Linked DNA regions of Arabidopsis thaliana. The protein of the gene in region 3 interacts with the protein of the main gene of each other region in a pairwise test. Each region holds a gene or a part of one and is shown on either strand. Other genes may lie near its edges. The genes, in order: AR401, AT1G49840 and UREF.

The links.
Region 1: the proteins of UREF (region 3) and AR401 interact in a two-hybrid assay, tested with the Arabidopsis thaliana proteins (one large-scale study listed by BioGRID).
Region 2: the proteins of UREF (region 3) and AT1G49840 interact in a two-hybrid assay, tested with the Arabidopsis thaliana proteins (one large-scale study listed by BioGRID).

What each region holds. Positions count from the first base shown.
Region 1 is NC_003070.9:24,865,595-24,872,900, forward strand, and holds AR401 (S-adenosyl-L-methionine-dependent methyltransferases superfamily protein), read right to left. Parts: upstream 3,494-7,306; 5' UTR 3,295-3,493; coding exon 3,053-3,294; intron 2,893-3,052; coding exon 2,764-2,892; intron 2,682-2,763; coding exon 2,481-2,681; intron 1,837-2,480; coding exon 1,740-1,836; intron 1,449-1,739; coding exon 1,345-1,448; intron 1,233-1,344; coding exon 1,181-1,232; intron 1,010-1,180; coding exon 758-1,009; 3' UTR 501-757; downstream 1-500. Other genes in the region: CLPP3 (CLP protease proteolytic subunit 3), read right to left, coding at 1-52; AT1G66690 (S-adenosyl-L-methionine-dependent methyltransferases superfamily protein), read right to left, coding at 3,960-4,292, 4,378-5,031, 5,130-5,204.
Region 2 is NC_003070.9:18,448,139-18,457,629, reverse strand, and holds AT1G49840 (glutamyl-tRNA (Gln) amidotransferase subunit A (DUF620)), read right to left. Parts: upstream 5,885-9,491; 5' UTR 5,388-5,884; coding exon 4,878-5,387; intron 4,527-4,877; coding exon 4,182-4,526; intron 4,103-4,181; coding exon 3,473-4,102; 3' UTR 3,167-3,472; downstream 1-3,166. Other genes in the region: AT1G49850 (RING/U-box superfamily protein), read left to right, coding at 1,186-1,398, 1,488-1,681, 1,959-2,304.
Region 3 is NC_003070.9:7,662,523-7,670,341, reverse strand, and holds UREF (urease accessory protein F), read right to left. Parts: upstream 3,896-7,819; 5' UTR 3,773-3,895; exon of another isoform or gene 3,499-3,772; 5' UTR 3,484-3,498; coding exon 2,761-3,483; 3' UTR 2,548-2,760; downstream 1-2,547. Other genes in the region: sks8 (SKU5 similar 8), read left to right, coding at 41-150, 467-737, 954-1,053, 1,141-1,483, 1,614-1,979, 2,117-2,195, 2,297-2,539; AT1G21835 (Plant thionin family protein), read right to left, coding at 4,406-4,678. UniProt on the Arabidopsis thaliana protein: Required for the maturation and activation of urease via the functional incorporation of the urease nickel metallocenter.

The DNA.
Region 1 (7,306 bases), about 17 Mb from region 3:
GACAAATTGGGTTTGAGGTTGAAGATGAAGCGAGACGCAAACTCATCTCCATTGTCTTTGGTGTTGGATGTTTTTTTTTTGAGTTCTGAGATTTTTTGCTAAAGAGGATGAAGAAAAGCAACTGATGGGACTGTTTCTGGATGTTTTTTTTTCCTTAGATTCAAAACGCTGTCGTTTTTTCGTCCATGGAAATGTACAATTTTGTGTCTAACGTGTATGATTTTTCTACTCTTTTATAAGATTTACACATTACAAGTTTCAATCTTAAACATCAAACTCAAGTACTAACTTCCAATTCTAACAATTTTGGATTTTATGCTTCAACTTGTTTAATTCGTTATCTAATAACTAAGAAAATGTAAGAGTGTTTCAATCCAAAAAAATCCGAGTTTATCCGAAACAAAATCGAATAATCTAATCTAATATGGAGTAGACTGCAGATTAAATGTGGTTCGGTTCTAATAGTAATCTTTCTTTTTGTCGGTTTTATTCTTTTTTCAAGGAACAAGTGAATCCACTCATTTTGTTTTCAAATTACTAATTTCTTTGATTTTTGAATTAGTCTATGACACATACTTTAACATCAAAAAAGAAAGAAAAAAAACACTGACATATGACCAAATCAGTTTTCTCTTAAAAGAACTTTAGAGGTTATTAAGAACTCCCAAAAGCACATCAACAGTCTTGCTTGACACCAACATAAAAAGAAGAGAAAAGGTCTGGGCATTATGTTAAAACAAATCCAACAGGTTTGTTCTCACTTCCGCAGAAAAGCAACCGTTGCCACACGCGATCCTACAGACCCACTGAACATGAACGTCGGGTATGTCCTAACATGGCTGAGATACTCAAACGGAGGTTGATCAATTCTGCTTGCAGCTTCAGAGCCAGAGGAAAGTACATTGTTTGCGTCATTTCCATCTCCTCTACATAAGTTGGATTTTCTGATGTTGAAATTCTCTACTTCTTCCACCAGTTCGTCCTTTGTGTGGTTACACGATGTGATCACCTTTAACAGAAGCAGAAAGAAATTGAGATTAGACATAGATGCAGTTGTTTAAGGTGTTCTATAGCAAGCAAAACGGGAAACAAGAGCCTTTGGTTTCTTTCTAACAGCTTAAACTTATGTGCTTTAGCTGCTTATAACCTAAATCTTATTCAGGAGTCGAGATGCTCTTACCAATATTCCACCAGGAGCAACCAGCTTGGACACTGAATCCCAGTACATGACTCTGAAACAGACAAATGGGATTGTTATTGGTAACCAAACCTAATTGTGTGCTAGGTAACAGAAAGAAAGTGCGGTAATTTACTATAAAGGATAGCAATCTAAGGAGGAGGTACCTTTTGACAGGGCCATCAGGATGCAAACCAATAGCATCTAAAGTTCCTTTGTCCATTACCAGCTTGAACTGCTGTTCCAATTTTGTGTCAAGGATATCATCAACCTATGAGAGCCAACCGTTAGTTCCACAACGTAGAGCACCTTAGATCTATATTTCCCAAAAAACAATTTGCTACTGATGCTCATTACAGTAAGGATTACTAGTTCATAGAGAAGATTTCTGTGTCCTGTACTACTAGATGTTAATTTCATGTAACGTACGTATCCCATTGCTTGATCAAGGTAAGTAACCATTTTCAAGAAAGAAGAGACAGCATTTAGACTTTTGTGGAGGCAGACTTTTTGTAGTTGGGTTCTGTAACTCTTTTTTATATTGAAGCTAACAAATTCATACCATGAAACGGATATTTGGAAAGCCATCACGTTGGGAAAGATGTTGAGCGAGTTCTACAGCCCCGTCACTGTAATCAGTTCCGGTTAAATCAGAGAACCTAAGCCAGAAAAGTGCAAGGATGATGAGATTAGTAATGTCAAAACAAGAGTAGAGTCTAAACATAAGATTCTGGTTAGAAATGTGTTGGTGTGTAATTGTTCTACATAACTAACAATTATCAGTGATAAAGTTTAATAGCAATACCACATTCAGGACAGTTTGGCTTTCATAACACTGACGAAACAAGCACGAAATGCCTTAGGTATAAAGATATAGTAACATTTTTGTATCACTGCATAGGGGACTTACGCCTCAGAGAGAGGCTGACTTCTGAATTTCTACATTATTTTCTATGGAATTTTTCTTTATCGTGACAAACAATGGTTCAGAACCTATAATCATCAAAGTTCACTGTGGCCGTTATATTCCCAAAAGGCTAGTGATACACGGCCACCATCTAGGGATCCTCTATAAACAAGAAATTCAATAGAAGTTCTAGGAAGCAGACAAAAACCAGTACATTATGATAGCTTGTTTACTATAAATGCTACATGATTCTAAACTTCTCATACTAACCGAGTGGTAATCAGGCTAGTGAAAATTAACAAATAGCATTATCCATAGTCCATAGAGCTTCTTCGATTGAAACAACAAAGTTAAGCATTTAAAGCCAGAGCATGAGAAAATGTTTAGAAAACTCACCCTTCCTTAGCAAGTTGATGAAGGAGTAAGCCATTTCCAGTACCAAGATCAAGCACATTCCAACTAGACAAATACTTATCAGCCTGATCATTCACCTCTGTCGTAACATCGTTTTCAGAAACAGACATGTTTCTTTGAGAAATCTCAACGCATAAGTCTTTAGTCCAAGAAGTAACAATCTCCATCACATCATCTCCAAACCTAAAATTGCGAAAAGAAAAAAATAAATCAATAGCTAGGATCTTCTCTCTTAAGTTCCATAGTGAGATCTGAAGAAAGTTACCAAACTTCACCAGCATGACCATGCTCTCTGAAATTAGTAAGCTCATCGGAATACGCTGCATCCCAATAGCTTTGAAGACCAAGCATTGATTGACCTCCTCCATCAGCATCTGGCTCTTCCTTATCAGAACTATACACACCAATCCAATTCATCAATTACTCGATAGATTCGACTTTAACAAGCGCCTAACGTATTTTAGAACATCAACATAAAACCCTAAGATCCCCAATTTCTCAATCTAATCCATAACTCTATACAATTCTCCCCCATTGTAGCAGAAATACGAAACCTGTAATCGGAAGAGACACGGAAGTTAGCGGACGAGAGAGCCTCGGCGGCATCGGCGTGACGTTGATCGTCATCGAGAGTGCTTCCATACTCACTTTTGATCGACCACGAATCCGCCGCGATAGATCGATCGTCATCGGAAGCCAAACTATCCGTTGTTGTCGTTGTCACCGCGGCGGCGGCTCTGGCTTGTTGTTGAGGAGTCGTCTCAGGTTCTTCCGGTAGCAATCTGATTCCCGCCATCGCAGATTCAACGCCACAGAGAATAAACAGTACGGTTCCTTTTTTTTTTTTGACGCAGTCGAAGCTGAAAATGAAACCCCTACTCGTGATAATCCTTCACTTGTATTGTATATATATAACAAATCTTCTCTTTTCTTTATTACTTTGAGACATAAATATTAATGTTTCTAGGAAAAAGTATTTTAACACAAAAAAATATTTTGGTAAGTTTTTTTTTTCTTGATTATTTGTTAATTATTGTTATGAATCATTTTTATTACAAAATATAATTAAAATTATACTAGAAAGAAATCATTAAACTATTTTGGTCAAAGTTATTATACTTGCGAAAGGTCTTATGATTTTAGACATTTAGTGTAGACTGTAGACATTTATCTGATAAGCTCAAAGAAAATACTATTCGCAAGAAAACAGAAGTGTTTGTAAAAAATGTCTAGTCAAAGTAGGCAAACTTTTTATTTAGCTCTTATGGAATAACGTTATACGATCCATATACATCATTCATCAACAATACTCGTTATACGTATAAGCATAAAGTGAAGTTTTATTCATTTGTAGGATAGTGGAGAATATTACAAAACAACAAGAAGAAAAGACGACAAAGCACCATAAGATCGACGAAAGAAGAGAATCAACAATGAAATCATATTAACAATATATTTGGATCAGTTCTTGCGAAGCACGATGAGGTATTGCATCCCGGGTTTGACCTTATGGAGGCGAGAAATCTGTTCGCGTGCCTTGACCTCAACAAGCTCAAAGGCTTTCCTCATGACTTCGATTCCAAAATGTGCGGATATAAAAGCACCATATAAGGCCTTGAAGGAGATGGCCAATGTCTTGGGGTCTAGCGGAAACTCATTCTTAGAGTGAATGATATCCTCGAAAGCCTCGATTGTGAACTTCCCATTCTCCTCAATGATTTGCCTTATCTCGCCTTGTTCTGCAAAGTAGATTGAGGTTTTGAAAGTGTCCACCTTTTCCTGTTCGGTGACACCCTTTTTATATTAAAAAGAGATAATGTTAGTTCGTACTTACTTCATATGCAATTGTAGGTAATACTTTAAAAATCACATTACGTACCTTTTGAGCAAGGTCATTAAGAGATTCTCCAATAAAATCCATTACTGTTCCTTTAAGGGTCTCGGACATCTTAACTCCGTCTCTCATACACGATCCTAAAAGCAACATCAATCCCCCGGGCATGAGCTCCTCAGCTCTAGCATCCAAAAGGTTTTTGGTGTCAATAGAGTACTGCTCAAGATAGGCTTTCTTCACAGCGGGGTTGAACCCGGTGCACTGCATGTCTTTGTTCCACAACGGAGAGTCGCGGTCCATGATCCCTTTGGGGATTTTGGAGGTGAAAAGGAATGCGTAACTCATGACTGCGATGTGGAAACTCTGCTTAGGAAGAACACGGTTGAAGAAGGAACCAGGAACCCCGGCGCTAAAGTATCTTCTCCCCGGAGGGAGTGTCTGGAAGAGAGTGTTGAAGTCATTGATTCTTAAGTCGTTGAAGAGGACTTGGAACTCGATGTTATCCTCCGGGTTTTGTCCGGTTTCTCTAAGATACTTCTCTTCCACGGCATCTATTATGTTTTGGACTGCCACAAAAGTGTTAGGTCCACTTGCACAACCGAAATCCGCTACAATGAAGCGATTCGAAATCAAGTCTAGGTCGAGGTTGGCGGAGATCGCCTCGGTCATCTTGTCCTTTGCCGCTTCCAACAAAGCTCTCTTTATATAGAGGAGACTCAGTTAAATACATACATCTTTGGAGTTAAGAACCTTGCTAGCTAGTTATGAAAATTTGCAAATCATATAAATGTATGAACCTGATACGATGACTGTTGGTTGTAACTTTCAGGGCCATATCCACCAATCATGATCCAATCTTGAGTAGTAGTCATTATATATCTCTCTGTTTTATCTCAAACTTCTTTTCTTGTTTAACTTTAGTTTATGATGAGAGTAGTGAGTCCATAGACCTCTCTCTATGCTTATATATATAGTGCTTGAAAGGCAATATACTGAGAACTAATTAAACATGTGCATGGGAAACTCGTCAAAAGAAAACAACAGCTTATTTATTATAGGAACTTGAATGCGTTCAACATAACGTTCCATATATGACATAATCAATTAGACTATGATATGTGTTAAATAGTTATATGGAAATTGAAACACAAATAAGGTTTAGAAATTGAAGTAAGAAATGTTTCAGTAGAATTTTAACAATTTAATAAATTCAGGATTATGGTATTTTAGTGATATATAAATTGTCGAAAACTTAATTTAGAACCAAAAGAAATGTTTTGATTTATCGCAATTAAATAACATTAGTTTGTAAAATTATCTGTAATCATGTACTTCTAGCAGATTTGTCAATGTAGATCATAGCCTTCAAAGAAGCCATGGATGGCCAATTGTTTGAGAAGAAAGAGTCCAAATTTTTATAATATTTGTTTACTTCTTTTTTTTTTCTCAAAGTTGTATTATTAATAAGGACCAGTAGTCCAGTACCCATATAAGTACACACCAAAATATTTGTTTACTTCAAAAAACAAAATTTACAATTTTATTGAATAAAAACAAAGATTACACGTGATGTAACACGGGTTATGATCTACATAGAAAGTGAAGTACAGTAAAACCTCTATAAATTAATAATGTTGGGACTGCAAAATTTTTTAATTTAAAGAGGTTTTAATTTATCGATAAATTAATATTTATTAATTTATAGAGAGATTCTCCTAATTTGGTAATTTTTAAAAAATTCCATAAGACTTTTTTCACTATACAAAATGTCTTTCTAGAATCAATTACAAATAAAAAATAATGTGTCTAGAAAACAACACTAAATTTTTTTGAGACCGTTACATATTATAACTAAATTTCAAATAAGAATAAATACAAATTTAAGCAAAAAAAAATTATAAATATATTTCAAAACAATTTCTTATATAATATATATATATATATATATATATATATATATAATTGATACATTTATGTAGTTATTAATTTATGATATTGATGGGACCATATATTTACATAGAACTTTCAAAAAAGTTATTATCTTATTAATTTATCGATTTCTGTCATTATTTACACTAGCCCCAACTCGGATCGGAAAAATTTATAAATTTACAGAGATTATTAATTTATCAAATATTAATTTATGCAAGTTACACTGTATTAGTAGATTTGTCCAAGTAACTAGCAAAATCTTAGCCGTCAAAGAAGAATGTTCAACATTGGATAATTTTATATTGTTTGAACAAGATGAGAAATTCGATCGGTGGTTGCGATGTAAGGTACTATATATGCATATATAATTTGTGTTATACATGAAGATAGCCCTTTTTTTTAATTAATAATGGAGTATATAGTTAGTTGAATAATTATTATAAGTTTAGTATCCCATCTGAAAACTGTTTTTGTCAGTTACTATACACAACAATTATAATACTATAATAAACATTTGCTTCTAATTTGAAAGTTGGACGATAAACTTAACTAACAAATATTTTTGGAATTATAGCTATTCAAATTTAAATAAATATTATATATTTGGTTTTGTGTTTGACAATCTCAAGAAAAAAACAGAGTTTGGACACCTATGTACGGATCGAATTTCTATCAATAGCAACGGTGAGTTATGTGTATACATAGAAAAAGTTTGTTTTTTGTAGAAGTTTTTTAATTTTCGGTGGCTTATACACAATTAACTCTTACAATAATAGAGAAAGAGCTATAAATCTAATCTAAATACTATAAGAAAATACACAAAATGACGCTAGAATAAAAGAAAATTTCTAGTCTAAAAGAACATTTAAACAGATGACTAGTATTTTTAAAAGTCAATTTTATATTACTAAAATATACTAACACAAAGAACTAATCGTAAAACAAACAAAAATCATGCTCTCAATTTTTTGATGTAATTATTTGTTATTTTCTAACTAAACAATGGAATTTTAACCAACATCAATATATATATATATATCTC
Region 2 (9,491 bases), about 11 Mb from region 3:
TGCTCACATCTGCGAATTCGATGAACTAAATCGGAGAGTTTGTTTAACCAAATCGGAAATTTATGTGAAACTATGCTCCAATCGTTTGATAAAGGGTGAAAGCAACTAAATAACAACTAATAAATGAGTTAATTAACAAAGTGGCAATAAAAAAACAAAATTAAAAGAGGAAAATTTTATCTAGAACCAACTTGTATACTGCAACTAGTACATTAACAATTAGATTTGAGTTAAGCAACTAACTAATCAATAGTTTCTCCATTTATTCATTTTTTTTCGGGAAAAATGTTGTTTAATACACCAACTTTCAAAAAGTGGCCATTTAAACCATGAACTCCATATATGGCCAAATAAAACTTAGTAAAAGCGTTGACCGACCATTTTATACATCTCAAAACGTTGACCAGGCCAAAAATCCTGCGACGTTAGCAGTCGTTAACAGAGTCGATAACAGGCGTTAGCAGGCGTTAATTAATCCGTTTAAACACAAAAATCTTCAAACGAACAAAAATGGAGAGGCTTTTGAAGATTTTTGAATTTGGGAATTTTAGGGCATGAGAATTGGAATTGGGGATTTTAGGGATTGAGAATCGAATTGGGAATTTTGTTGGTTTCGATTAAACACAAAACGACGTCGTTTGTGTTTAAACGGATTAATTAACGTCTGCTAACGCCTATTATCGACTCTATTAACGACTGCTAACGTCGCAGGGTTTTTGGCCGGATCAATGTTTTGGAATATATAAAATGGCCGATCAACGCTTTTACTAAGTTTTATTTGGCCATATATGGAGTTCATAGTTTAAATGGCCACTTTTTGAAAGTTGGTATATTAAACAACATTTTTTCCCTTTTTTTCCGTCAATTTCTCCATTTATTCAGTTTAGTGTTTCATAATGCTCTCCCCGTTTTCTTGGGACCTATGTATTAGTGGACTTTACTTGGATAGGCCCAATAATTGGGCTTTTCCCCTTAGTTTTTTATTACAGCGACACCGTTTTTAAAGATGTTTTGTCTTAGCTCCGACAGCAAGTGGGAGATGACGTCACCTTTTCACTGCAGTTTCCCTTTACTTTTTCCTCGCAATTTTCTCTCTTCTCTCTCTCTGTCCTCCTTATCTCATCGTCTCTGACTCGCTGCACTTAGTTTCAGATCATATAAACGAATTTGGTGATTGATCGGTGCATGACGAGCGCATCGGAACTCTTCTCTACACGAAGATCACGTCCGGGTCGATCCGACCCGGCTTTAGAATCCGACACTTCTTCCTATCGACACCACTCACACCATCATCATCGCCGTCACGGCGTCCATCATCATAATCAGCGTCATGATTCCGACGGCTGTGATCCTCTCCGGCGACCCACTCCCCGTCTCCGACGCTTCTTTCACCATCCGGTTAGTTACTTTCCACCAAATTAGTAATTACTAATTTCAGTAGTTGTCTGAATTTGGTCCTTTTTACTAAAATCTCCCCTAATTTACAGATTCAGGAACGTAGTAGACCTATTCGTGATGTTCAAGGCACTAGTCAGTATTTAAATACGGATAGTACTGATACTGAAACTCAGAGTAGCAGCTTTGTTAACCTAAATGGATCCGAGAGGCTTCCTGGAGCTGTTCTGCTTGCAAGGGATAGACTTTTCGAAAGATTGAGAGGTGTTTCTTTGTCTAGTAACAGGTCTGTGCTTAACCCACTGATAAATTTTACAGCTTTACTTGATCTGCACTCTAGTCTGATTTTAGATTTCTTTAAAAATAATTGCTTTTGTCTGATCAAGATTCTTTGAAGCATGTTTTGATTTTGCTCTTGTTTCTTGTGAGGATTGGTCAAGACTTAGTGTAAAAATCAGTTTTTGTGGATTATTGTTGCTTTGTGTATTCTTTAATATCTTCTTTGAAGCCTCTTTTTCAAAATTTGGTTACGGATTTGTTTCAACTTTGTTTTTCTGATTCAGTCGAAGCAACAGAGTTTCATTGGATGATCAAAGGGAGTCTTCATTTCATTCTATAGATGGAGATCCAATTTTTCAACTAGCAGGGCTTCAAGTGACCTATGAATGCAACAAGAAACCACAAGGTCTTACTCAAGATGCTATTAACTGTTTACACCGGCAAACTTTTAGCTCAGCCGAGGTTAAATCCGAGATGAGAGATTGTAGCATATGTTTAGAGAGTTTCACTAAAGGTGACATGCTAATATCCTTACCCTGTACCCATAGTTTCCATTCTTCTTGCTTAAACCCTTGGCTTAGAGCTTGTGGAGATTGTCCTTGTTGCCGTAGAGCCATAGCAAAGGAATAGAAACTTGTAAATAGAATCTTTGCCTAACCATTAGGCCATAGCCATACACATCTTCTCTTCTTCTTGCTATAGACATCCTTAAAACGATCTTCTGAGTTTTGTCGCCCATGAGTGTTTTTTTTACTGTCACATGTTTGTAATGGTTTTTGTTGTGCCATTAGGCAGTTCAAGCGTTGATATCGTATGGTGTGAATCTTTTTAGTTTTATTCACTGTGATCTCTCTTTTAATGTCTTGTTGGTTATATGAAAGAGACTTTTTCCAAATCCAAATCTTGATCCGACAATTTGGTTATGCTTTGAGGTTATAGCTCAACAACTTAACGTTTTCATTTTCAGAAATTTTGATTGTCTCAATCTGGTGATACTACTTTAAAGCTTTGCTTCCTCTTCCAAAACGTTGTCATTATCATACATCCATGTACGTTACATATATTGAAGTCTAATATCAAAAGATTCAATCAATTTATAACAACTTTAAAAGAAAGTTATGCCAAAAAAAAGAGAACTTTAAAACAAAGTTAAGGCTAAAAGGAGAAGACAGTTGTGCACAAAAAGCTATTTTTTGCTACAAAAGCATATCAAAATGGACCCCTTTCTTCATAAATTCATGATCATCATCTTCAATTCCTTTCATAAAATCCCATTTATTTGCTCCTAACCATCACTTTCTCTATTGGGTACCTAACACACCTCACTCTCTAACCACTAAAATTAACAATACATACATTAAGAATGTCCTGCCTTTCTTTTTCTATCACATCAATTTCATGTCTTCGACAACATTAAAACCTATATGATTCAAATTCAACCAACTTAAAACGGTTTAGTTCAGTTTAAAATCAACGAAAGCTGAAGAAGATAAGAGAGCTTCACTTGCTAACAATTAACTTTCCATAGATTGAAATTTTGACTTGCTAGAAAAATATGAGACAAATTCAACATTTAAGCAGCAATTCTCCTTCTCTTGCTGCAAATAAATCCCATCACCTTACTCAATAATATTGAAGGCGACAAAGAAAATAAGAGAAATGAAACTTAAATAAACCAATCGTGTAATCAAACTCCTAATATTTGAGCTGTTAAACAAAGGGGTTAGTTAGTCTCATTTCAAGGCTCGAGTCTTGTTATTAGGATTACTATGCACAGATTGCATCTTCCCTACCATACTCAGACATCAATATGCCAAACAGGATCATTGTCGAAGCTTCCTTTCTCCAAGGCTGCAACTTTAGCTCTATGAGCTGTTGTTGAAGCCAACGCTAGTGAGCTCTTCCCTTTCTCCTCTTGACCCGAGTACTCGCAGGCTTCAGTTAACGAACCAGACCGAAGATCAGCGGGTGGGATAAAGCAATCTAGAGACAGACCAGGAACATTGAAAGCGACTTCTTCAATGGTCCATCTTTCCTCCATCTTTGTCCTAGTGTGGCTCATAGCAACTTCCCCAAATCTGAAGAGGGTAACAACAGAGCGTCCAGAGTGAGCAATCATGATCCCTTCCACCTGTTTGTAGTCGTCTAGAGACGAATTGATCGTGGTCTCCCAGTAAACAGCATCACCATCGTTAGATTGGATTCGAGTCAACTGCGAATCCTCAATTTGAGCTAGAAGTCCTGTTCTTTGGCTGAAGTAACCGAAAAGGATGTGTCTTACAATCTCTGCTGGTCCTTCACTCCTCGCCCTTAGCGTTTCAGGATCAGTACATAGCTTCAAAATGAAACAATCTTCACCATTCACCTTCCTCTCTCCAACACATTTCGATTCAGCAAACATAGTAGCAGTAGTTCTCGGATCAAGTCCCTGAAACATCATTTAACATAACAGAATCAGCATTGGATTGATTTCAAAACCATGTAAGTTTTAGTGTTTGGGGATTAACCTGAAGTGCACGACGAAGAGGCCTGACGGGTCCTTTAGCAGTGTGAGAACCAAGCCAAGGAGTATGTCGCCAAACAAGCTTCCCATTACAGCCAGCACGAACTTTACTACCACCAACAGAGAGCTCAACGTACCACATATCAGGATTCATCTGCCAGAGAACAAACCCACCAGTTTCCGACTTTGTAGAGTTTCGGTTTCTAACAGTTCCTGTAGGAGTTTCAAGCTCTGAAGTTATCATCTTTAACTTACCCATAGCATAAGCGTTCTTAATGGCGTTATGTAACTTGTGGCCACCACAAGCCGCCGTGTACTGTTGCAAAATGTACTGTGCAGATGATGTTTCCTGCAAACAACATATCACCAGAGAGAAACAAAATTTACACAATAATAGAAACAAAAATCGAATTTTGTTTGAGTAACTAATCTCTGAGTATTACATGAATCAAACCCCCACCAGATAATGACAATATTCCACCAACCAATCCATAAATCATCCAAAAATAAGATTTTTAACTAAAAACCAAAAAAGGAAAAAAAAATCATAAACAAGAAATTAAATCGAAAATGTGGAGCAGAGAGATCTGGAATCATAAATTTACGATTTTTATCGGATTAAAAACATAAAGTTTGTGTTTTTACTTCCCAAAACCCTAAAAATTTAGAAATGTAACAATGAGAATAATCAGAGACTAACAGTGGGAGAGTCTCTGATGGTGAGATGAAGAAGATGACTGGAGGAAGAGACGTTAATGGGAGCGAGAGGAGCTCCCATAACACCGAGAAGAAGTCTCAAATCAGACTTCCGATAAGCCGGCGTAGTTGAAGTCACGGACGGAGCACGTGACCACTGACCTTTGACCCAATGACTTAAACCCGACCCGAGTCGTTTCGAATCCACTCCAGAGACTTCACCGTTATCTGGATCAGGACCTTCCATTACTGGTCTTAAACTACTGGATCTTCCAATAAACGGCTCAGGTTGCGACAAGTAATAACCTCCTCTTTCTCCTCCGATTACTCCTCCGCCGCCGCTGCAGCCGGAGCTTGCGATTAGTTTCTTTCTTCCCCAGAGAAGAGCTTTCATGTGTGGGGTTGTTGAACGAGACGGGCTTGCGGAACGAGAACGTGGTCTTGAACGAGAAGGAGATAAGCCTCTTACGACTTCGTCTCTGAGTGATGAGAAAAAACCTTGTTTCTTTTCCATTTTTTATGGACTCTTAAAAATGTAACCTTTCGTCTTCTTCTTCCTCGTAACCGAAACAAATTGAAGAGTTCGAAAAACCCTAAAAGGACAGAGTCGCCGGAGAACGAGAGAGGAAGAAGTCGCAGCGGAGAAGAAGAGAGAGAGAGCGTTTTGACGATACTTTTAAAGGACCCGAGTGAGTGAAGAATCCAGAGAGCGAGACTACAGAGGAAAAGGATTTTATCGGTAAATGACTATTTTGCCCTCTTTAGTATTTGGGGGAAAAAAACAAAAAGTGAATGGATTTAACGCGGCTAAGTTTAGAAGTGGGAACATCATTGTCAAAATGCGTTGGTTCGTTAGTTCGTTATCGTCTTAACTTTTTAAGTTTGTGATTGTTTTTGATAAGTTTAGGTGAAGAGTATCAAATCGCGAATACAAGAAAAGAAAAAAGGTAGATGATATTTTCGTGTTTCATCATTTAATTCTAAGAAGTGTGTGTGGGAATGATGTGAGAAACGTATTTGAAATAAAGACTAATTGACAATGGACTTTTGTGTTTAAGTGTGGGATTGCTAGTGGCACCGTTATGGATGGTAGACAATTACAATTAGATGGTCTTTGATTTAATGTTTGCTTTTTCCAATCGGGTTGTGTATTAATTCTCAAGAAATGGGTTCGATCGGTAATCATCGTTTTAACGAGATTGTTATGATCTATATTTTCTTGTAGATAAATATTTAGAGTAAGAAGACGGTTTGGCTGAAATGGACGGTTAAACAACACTAGTAAATTATTGGTGCTAATTCATCATATAAACGAGTATATGTAGGGTAAATGTGAAGGAGGAAAACGAAAATCTAGAGTAAACTTGAGAAAAAGGCCTTTTCTAGTCCAGTTCTTTAATATAGCTAAACGATTTGACTTGCTAGTATAAACCATGACAATTTATAAGTTTTTAAATTAACAGAATGTTAAGATATCCGCTATTTAAGTGTTTAGTATAATTGATATGTATATATGCACAAATCAGAACAATCGATAGATATTTAATCGGAGTAAAATGTTGAAACTAAAATATAGGTTACAAATTTACAATGAAGCTACGTAGGTGAATAATTAAAAGTGGCCACTATATATGATGATTAATTAATCATAGTTTGAAAGCTTGAAACGTGTGATGAAACTAAACTTAAACATATTAAAGGAACCACGTGAATGTCTTTGAGGTTCTCACTTCTAACGGTCAAAAGAACATAGAAAAAACACACAAATCCTTCTTTTAACAAAACAATAACAGACTCGTTAACTGTTTCCATTGTTATTATATAGTGGTTACAGCTAAGTTATGATTCGTATATATAAACCTTTGGGTCAATCAAAACTATTGCAACAAATTCAATACTATCTGTCTCCCCCAAATGCTAAAAAGTAATTAATTGGGGACATTGGTGTGCATGTGTGATTCACTGATTCTTGATAATCAATTTTCCGACTCCTAAACCTTCATGGATCCTGACAAAAAAAAATGTTTTAAGAAATCTTAGTTTAACAGTCGACTAACACTTATCCCCTATTCATAAAATGTTAATTGACATCATACCAACGAAAGATGTATTACTCGAATATTGTTTTTCCTTGTTGACGTCATTTATTAGTCTAACTAGCTTCTTTTATGATTCCAGGCTTTTAACGAACATATAGAGAGGTATATTTTGGATTGAATGTTTCAAGAAATCACATGCCATCATGTTAAACCGTGTTTGGATTTTAATTACGAACTTTCAACTTAACACCAACTGACAATAAAAAATATTGGCTGATATCTCTTATTAACTAGGCGAGATATTATTATTTCCAACTTTTCATTTACATATACATTTTTGCAGCCATTTTGTAAAATAAATCCTATAGTTGAAACTTATTTACAATGATATGCTACTGACATTAAATTTTTAATTATTTGATTTGATTTTTAATTTTTGATTTAAAATATCAATCACGTTATCATTCAAATTTAATCCCAACAACAAACTTCAAATCAAATTCCTTAAAATTAGCTACACATAATCATTCACAACATTATTAATATTATACTTTATTAAAAGGTAAATATTGTATTTATTAAATTAAACGTTTATAATATTTATAGGAAAAAATGTTTAGAATATTTATAAAATAAGAAATCTATAAAAATTAAATAATCATTTGAAAGACACCTTTTAAATTGATTTGAATTATAAATCTTTTAATAAAAATATTATTTAAACAAAAAATAAAATAATAATATTTAATTTCACCGAACGGATTAGATGGTAGAACGGATTTAGAATATTATAATATATGAACTTTATAACAATTAAATAAGCATTTCAAATAAAATTTTTAAATTGATATGAATTATATATATTTTAAATTAAAGTATTATTAAAACAAAAATAATAAAATAATGTTTTATTTTACTGAACGGGGTTAGATGGTATGACGGGTTTGGATCGATAGTAATATGAGACAGTATATCACTGGTGAAATCCATTAAATATATTTAATTTCACTGAGGTAAGACGGATTTGGGTTTATAGTAATACGAGACGGTATACAATGAGTGAAATCCTATAACTAACAATTAAAATACAGTTATATAATTTAAAATATATAACAAAACAAACAATCTTAACAAAAACATATATAATTTAAAAATCGACTTATGGTGTATCCCATGATAAAATCAAGGGATTGTACAATATATCAAAATTAGAATTATATATTTATAAAATACAAAATAATATGTTACATATAAATAATTTATAAAAAAAAAAAATTTTCAGTTTTTTTTACACCGTGGGTTAAAATCTAGTTGAATATTAAACTCAACTACATGTTCATGTTATTTGATCAGTAATGTTTCACTTATAGTTGAAATTATATGCTATTCAGTTAATAGTTATAAAATAAAAATACATATAAAATTTTACAAAAATTGAAATACATTTTCCTTCTTTTTTTTTAGTTAAATACATGAAACGAAAATTGCAATTATAGATAGAATAAAATTGTATATTTAGAAATTTGCACTATCTTGGTTTTTGTATTAAAAAGAAAAAGGGATAAAAAAAAGTATATATTGAATGGGCCGTATCAGAAAATAACATGACGCGTTCCACTAAGAGAACAAAACTAACGTCTCTTAGAACACCCCCATTGGTAGAGTCCCTAATTAAGGATTTTCAATATATTAATCATATTTTTTGCATAATTCAAAGTTAAAGACTTCATAAGGAGATTCTTATTTTTTCCTCCTCCAATGGTAGAATCTCATTAGGGATTTTCAGAGAAACCTTAAAAGATCAACATTTTTTTCCAGAGAAAATAAAAACCAACAAAATCAAGTCCAAGGAACTATATTTATCTTCTAGACTCTGCTCAAGTTTCCAATTCATCCTGAGCCATGTCTTTGGTGATCTTGTTCTCCATCTGAAGATCAACAAGAATCTAACCAGGCCTAGTTCGACCAATCCCATGATTTCTTCTACCCCTAACCCACATAAGATTGAAACATACATACATTTCGTCTCTTAGCCACAAATGTAATCACATACAACACCAAACACTCATAAATCACCAAATAAATGTTATTTAAAAGCCCTTAACGCAACTTAGCTTCAACTACAGAGAACTTAAAGACACGACTGATGTAATCGTATACAAGGATCAAAGTAAATAATTGTGACTAGAACTCGAAATATTAAGCATGAAAATTTTTGAGATCTCTAACCATAAGAAAGCATCAATTGAAATAAGCAATGTGAAGAACTTACCAGGTTAAGGAAATTATGAGCAAGGCATCTTACGGAGGGACAATTCCTATACACAAAGCTATTAGGATTCATGTACTCATCAATGTCTCTGACTCAAAAAATATTTCGACGTTACCGTGACGGTTCTATTTACAAAACTCTGATTCCCTGTTAGGTGGTCCCTCTTCAAAGCTAAGAGAATGTGTAAACACACAACACAAACACAAGTTTCTTTTGGCAAATCAAGTCTAATTCCTTCTCATAACTTGGCAGTCTTTAAGTACACAAAGTAAAGCAAAGGGGATCGACAACTAATCCTAAAAACAAA
Region 3 (7,819 bases):
GTTAATTGGATTTAAGTTTGTTTACCGTTTTATCTACTAGGGTATATTGATCAATGGGAAGTTCCCAGGACCGGACATCGCCGCTGTTACCAATGATAATCTCATCATTAACGTATTCAACCATCTCGACGAACCTTTCCTTATATCATGGTATATATGTTTCCTTTTCCTTATACAAAAAAACGAATGTCTAGTTTTCTTTTGTAATCTCTTGCTTAGAGTTAAGGCTGTAAGAAAAAGACACATAACTTTAGTTTATTTATGTGTTCAAATTCATATATTAGATATATATGTCAGTTGCATCTATATGGTATAAATCGTTCCGTAATAGATAACAACCAAAAATTTGGGATCATATATATAATGCTTCAATTTAAATTTAGACGGTGTATATATTTGCATGGCGTTTATACATGAAATTCTTAGCAGAGGACTCATTGTTCCTATTTGATGTCTTTTTGTAAAGGAGCGGGATTCGAAACTGGAGGAATTCATACCAGGACGGAGTGTACGGGACGACGTGTCCAATCCCGCCGGGGAAAAACTACACCTACGCTCTTCAGGTTAAAGATCAGATTGGAAGTTTCTACTACTTCCCCTCTCTCGGCTTTCACAAAGCCGCCGGTGGATTTGGAGCTATTCGTATCTCCAGCCGCCCCAGAATCCCCGTTCCATTCCCAGCCCCCGCTGGTGATTACACCGTTCTCATCGGTGACTGGTACAAAACCAACCATAAGGTACGATTCCCCTCTTACGTATGGCGCAAGAAAAGGGGAAAGAAATAGTAGGGCGATAAAATGATTATATTTTGTTGTCGGGTTAGACTTAGAGAATGGGACAAAGTGTTTGTGTTTTTAACAAATTTGGAAAGCTGCATGCATGATGTATATCTGTACTTAAACGTTGTTGCTTGTTGGAATTTTGGAATTAAAAATTGTAATCTCTCCTTATAGGACTTGAGAGCACAACTCGATAATGGTGGAAAGCTTCCATTCCCGGATGGAATTCTCATCAATGGGCGCGGTAGTGGCGCCACCCTCAACATTGAACCAGGTTTTGCTTTTTCACCTTTCTTGTCTTGTTTATTGGTGATTCTCTGACTGTAAGTGTTAATAAGTTATGATGTGAGTTTTTCTGTAGGTAAGACTTATAGACTGAGGATATCAAATGTTGGATTGCAAAACTCTCTCAACTTCCGAATCCAAAACCACAAGATGAAGTTAGTTGAGGTCGAAGGGACACACACTATTCAGACTCCATTCTCTTCGCTTGATGTTCACGTCGGTCAATCTTACTCGGTCCTTATAACAGCTGACCAGCCTGCAAAAGATTATTACATTGTGGTCTCTAGTAGGTTTACCTCGAAGATCCTTATTACCGCTGGTGTTCTTCATTACAGTAATTCTGCTGGACCTGTTTCTGGACCTATTCCAGAAGCACCAATTCAGTTGCGCTGGTCTTTTGACCAAGCACGAGCCATCAAGTATTGTTTCATTTTTTTTTTTTTTTTTTTTTTTTTTGTATTGTTTCATTCTTTCATTGACAATTACAATCTTTGTTAGTTACTTAGTGGTATACAACCGTGTTTGAGCGGGTTTGTTTGTGTCTTATAGGACCAACCTTGCAGCGAGTGGACCTAGGCCAAACCCACAAGGTACATACCACTATGGCAAGATAAAAGTCACTCGAACAATCAAACTTGCTAGCTCTGCTGGAAATATCAATGGCAAGCAACGATACGCGGTGAATAGTGCATCATTCTACCCAACAGACACACCTTTGAAACTAGCGGACTACTTCAAAATTGCCGGTGTATACAACCCTGGAAGCATACCTGATCAGCCCACACATGGAGCAATATACCCTGTCACATCTGTTATGCAAACTGATTACAAAGCTTTTGTGGAGATTGTTTTCGAGAATTGGGAAGATATTGTCCAGACCTGGCACCTCGACGGTTACTCTTTCTTCGTGGTTGGGTAAGTTAAACAATCATATTTGCATCCACACGGTAAAATTTGGTAGCATTCTCTAAACCAAGATAGAGTTCTTAAGAAAATCGAAAGTTGTGTACATTTTCAAGACTATTGACTGATGATCACTTGGTAACAATTAGGATGGAACTTGGGAAGTGGAGTGCTGCCAGTAGAAAAGTCTACAATCTAAACGACGCAGTCTCACGGTGCACTGTTCAGGTGAGAGTCCTCTAAAGCCTTATATATTTTGATCACACAGTTAGCCATAAAAGCTCAGTATGGGTTATAAAAAAGGTGGATCATTGGATGAATTTGTGCAGGTGTATCCAAGATCATGGACTGCCATATACGTATCACTGGACAATGTAGGAATGTGGAACCTAAGATCAGAGTTATGGGAAAGACAATACCTGGGACAACAGTTTTACATGCGTGTTTACACACCCTCCACTTCCCTCAGAGATGAGTACTTGATCCCGAAGAACGCTCTTCTCTGCGGCAGGGCCACTGGCCACCACACCACGACACCCGGTCCTCTGAGTGAAGGAAGTGAGAGGTTTTGATAGACGATTGCAATGACTTTCTGAAACACATTTCATATTTCCTTATGGATTCTAGGTCACATATATATTGTTGATTAGTAATAACGAAATAAAAACAGATTTGTCTACAAATACACATATATGATCCAACTGAAAAATTAACAATAAGCACATAAACTACAAACAATTAACAATATGCACTAATCGATGTAACCTAAGTGAGGTTATATCATATGTTTTCATCAAGAGCAAAACAGTCTAGAAAACAAGTAACCGTGACAACCTTGCACAACATCCAGCAAAGGAGAAGTCTGACATGCTTCACCAGCTTCACGATTCATCCACTTCTCTAAAACGGTTTCAGTAACAATGGCAATGCGATGCTGCATCACCGAAGCACCCATCGGTCCAACTATGTTCAATCTCGTTGCAGCAGAAAGAACATCTCTGAGCGTTACAAACAGATACGCTCTCTGAGAAGTCTCGGAATCCATGCCGAGTAAACCACATACAAGCCCGAATATCGGTGCATGGTGGAAACATACATTTTTTGACCCCAAAGAAGCATCACGAATCATCTTAAGATTTGGTACCTCAGTAAAAACCGAAGCAGCTATACGAAACAAAGCTGATCCTTGTGACATTGACGCCTTTGAAGAAACTTGGTTAGTTAAAGTAGCGTTAAGTATTCCATCAAGTTTATGCCATGTCTCTATATCAGGAGATTTGAGAGCAGAGTAGACAAAAGGAAGCAATAAGCTAGCTGTGTTATCCAACACATGAATGATGTGAGTTTCTAAATCTTCAGGAGACGAAACTAACCGAGTCTGAATAGCTGCTTCGAGACCAAACGAATGAGCAAATCCTCCTGTTGGTAAAATTGAATCAAGTAATTGCCACTGACTCCACTGCATACAAGAAGAAGCTCTTGACATAACAATGTCGCGTCTTTCGTCTTCTTCCATCAATGAGACCTCTTTCTAAAGAGAAGTTAAACACACACAATGATGCATTAATATAGAGAAACAATCAGAGCAATGTTTCGATCTAAAAAAGCGATTTTTGAAACTTTGATAATCTAAGAAATTGAAACAAAACTATACAAAAGTGACTATATCAAGACTCTTTAGATAAATTCGGAGTCTTGATTCCATTGAACAGGTGAGATGAAAACAGAGTATGCTCAATGAAATCGATCGGGAAAAAAATAATCTAAAGATCTGAATCGCTAAAAAAAGGGATTGAAAAATCTACAGATAGGAAAGCTTTTTGGATGAACGAGAGGCGTCGGAGAAGATGAGTGATAGAGAGATATAGACTTCAGAGTCTCGACGGAGACAGAGGCGGAGAGATATAACTCCGACGGAAGACGAGAAGAAGGAACTAAACATTATTAATTCAACTTGATTTGTTTTTTACGGTTCACTTCGAAACCAAACGATAACCGACCGGTTTGCGTCTAAGCGAACCAAACTGTTTGCTGATAGATTGTTTGATTGTATACTGTGTTATTGAATTGCAGTTGTTCTTTTTTTTTTTTTTTTTAATAAAAGTTTTGTTTGTTAATAAGTTTTGTAATAGTTGTTTGATGATGATTTCAAGTCACATTTTTATTCTTGATGTATCGATGTTATCGCGACAAATGGTTATTAAGTCTTTGGAGAAGACTCAAAAGATCTAATAACCAATGGTTATGTATATATTTGAGTTGACCTAGTTTAGTTAAATCGAAATATTTTTTTAGGGTAAATGTTTTTGTTCACATAAACGCTTGTTTAATAAGGACGATGAATTAAGTAGATACAAATTAATAACTTAGTCATGCATAAAGTTTTACAAAAAAAATAGTCATGCAAAAAATAAAACATCGAAATTTTTTTCGTGGAATTAACAAAACTGAGGCAACCATCTACAGAAGTGGGAGCTTCCCTTAGGAGGAGGTACAATAAATTTTTTACCACCGAATAGTTGATTGTTGCAGATTTTCTTGCAAGTTTCATCACAAATTTCAGGAGTAGAATTTTTCGCCGCTTTCAAACACCGGTTATGTGCACAATGTTTCACACACATTGTTAGACTGTTTGATTGAGCAATGTGTGCAGAAAACATCATCGTCAATATAGCTACGAACATGAAAACATTGCATGTTTGAGTCGTCATAACGTAAATACTAGTGATGATTTAATACAAATGAGTATTACAACTTGTTTTGTATTTCCTGTTTATAATTGTGAAGAAGATGATTTGGTGGGTAATATTGGGTTAGTCTAGGTGATTTATATAGTGAAACTAATGTTGTCAATTTTAGCAATTGTTTTAAATATGTTTTTTGTTTCTCTCTGTATATAGCCAACAAATTCTGTAGAGTTTAGTTGTACTTTACTTTTTTAGTTGTCCAAACAAAATATTACTGTGAAAAAACAAATCATAGCTTACAGATATACCATATTCCAATTTTGGTTTTTTTGTAACCACATGTTATTACAGATATTTCTTTGTAAAGCAACATAGATCTATTGGATTAAAATCTATTAAATGGTTATGTGGATATGAATACTGTAACGATACCAAATCCAGATCAGTTAATTAAATTTGGTCACAGGATCTCTAAGCTCAAAAGAGACATAATCGTAGGATCTTGATCGCTACTGTCGTCTCTTATCCTATTGTTTCCTTGTCTTTCCCCATGTGATGATAAATACTTAAATTGAAAACACTTTACAAAAAAACCTTACAGATTTTTTTTGGTAAAAGACTCAAATTGAAAACAGAGAAGTGGCCCACAAATATGATACCCATACCATAAAATCCCATAATGGGAACATTACTTGAATCCTACCCAAAGATTCTCCATTCCTCCCATGTGATCATTCTTTTTAGTATTTTGTTCTTAACTTCACTTTTTCTTATATAAAAAGGTCCTTTTTCTTTGTGTGTTCTTTTATAGATAACCTTCTAGGACTCCTTTTATTCCTTCAAAATTGATAAGATCGTATAATTAATTACACGGATCTGAATAATGGCCATGTGAAGATCTATCAAGAAGTGGACTGAGCAAGAGTTTTTTTTATCGAATTAACTATGCAACAATATGTTGAAATCTATATTCAGGCATAACGTTATGTTTAGAAAAAGGTATATTGGACAAAATTGTAGATAATCGTACATATTAGCAAAAAATGTTCTCAAAACGTCAAATAAGTCCAAGACCCAAAACAACTATTTTTAATCAACATTACAACATTTTCTTTCTGATCAATTGATCAAACCATTCGGACCACAAATCAATAGACAGGTAATTTCCTTGAATATAAAAAGTTAATTATCTCTTATCTCTTATTTTGAATAAAATCAGCATATATGAACAGCGACAAAAGTTTGTTTAAAATGTGATTTTCTTCAATTTGTCATGTTCGGACCCGTCCGACGGAACCGGTCCAAATTGGTTTGAAAAGCATTTGTTATTTAATCAAGTCATACACTAAAAGCTTTGATCATTGTGAGTAGTAGTATATAGTGTAGAGGAAGTATGTGGGATGGTGGTCTAATTGAAAAAGTGATGATACATTGAAACTCATCACTACACATAACAAATCACCTGTCAATGTCTCTCTAAGTGTTTGGGTCTTTAGCTCTTGATATTGAAGCCTGTCTTCTTCTTTTTATTTTTTAAGATCACGTGAACGCTCAAAGTTTTTGACCAACAAATAAAATGGACCCCTTTTATGTTCACATCCAGACCCCAACTTTTATAAACTAGGTCAATCTAGCTCCTAAGCTTTAATCATGATTTATTTACTTACTTATTCAATTCCCATTTGGATTATAAGCACGTGATTTGAAATTTGTGAAGACAAATAGAAGACTTAATTTGAGCAATTTTCGAGATGATTAGCAAATAGGGAGAAGTTTCATCAAACCCGAAGCTAAATCTGATCTTTTGTTTCGCCCAAAGAAGAAAGAATTGCTTATGAAGCGATATAGTCTTGATAATGGAGAATTGCCCATGTGATGGATGTGAGAGCCATTTAAAGTTATGAAGAAACATAATAATTCTCACACGGAAATATAATGAAAACTAAAATCATTTGTACTAACACATGCATGAGTCTATTCATTAATTATCAAAAAATGTTGGTTTGAACTGAACGTCGACATGATGAATTCTAAGTTCAAATGAAAATTGAGTTTCTAAAAACAAAAAGTTTGAGGATTTGATTTAAATATTTTGACAATTGTTTCTAAATGTAAACAACTATACGCCGAAATTTCGATCAAGTTGTTAGAAAGAAATAAACTTGAAGTGAAAGTGAGGAGATAGAATTGAATATATTGTCGAATATGGAGAGAGACCTCCAAAATCACTCACTCACACATACATACCAAAGGAAGATGACTTGTATTAATGGGTCCCTTATATTCGGATACATTCTCTTTTTAATTACGAATGCTACAAGTGGATGTTTCTCGGCCAACACGTCCAAAAACTAATTTGATTTTTTCTTAACAAACAAATATAGATTCTCTGTTCACAGTATTTTTTTTAAAATCTGATTACTAGTTTTAAATAATATCTATTACACATGCCACGGATCCACAAGCGATCAATCATCCTTCTCTAACTATCTGTTCGAGTCTATATCTAGTAAGACGACCAGAACATGCTACGTTGAATTGGTTAATTAACAATGTAAACTATGTAAGTATTTGTCTGACGATCAACAATTTATAAACTATTTTAATTTTTTTTTTATAAATACTTTTATTTATGATATCTCGAATACTCGTAGGCCATGATAACAGTAGTAAGTTCGAGATCTGTTCTATACTTAGACTTCACACATAAAACTTAAACTCTAAATCTAGGGTATATACTATTATACTATATACACTAATTTTCTAGATTATGTCATTATCTGAAAACAATGATGTAAACAAAATCTATTAATTAAAATGAGCTTTTAAAGGATTGTGGATTAGATATTAATTAAAATCATGTCATATCCCTTAAGTCGCCATAATTAATCATAACTAAAAGGCTTGTCTTGTTGACAAAATAAAAATAAAAGGCTTGTCTTTTTTTCTCTCTTTTTTTTTTCCGGCAACTAAAAGGCTTATCTACTAGGAATTCTTTTTTTGTTAAAATTACTTAAAAACAATATGTAATATATACAAAGATATTCGATATATATATTACAAAGCTTCTATTTCAGACCTAAGCCCATCTCTTTGTTACATATCTTATATATCTCCCTCTCTCCCTCTTCTCCTTCTCTCTTTTCAGCTCTCTTCGGAAGTGAA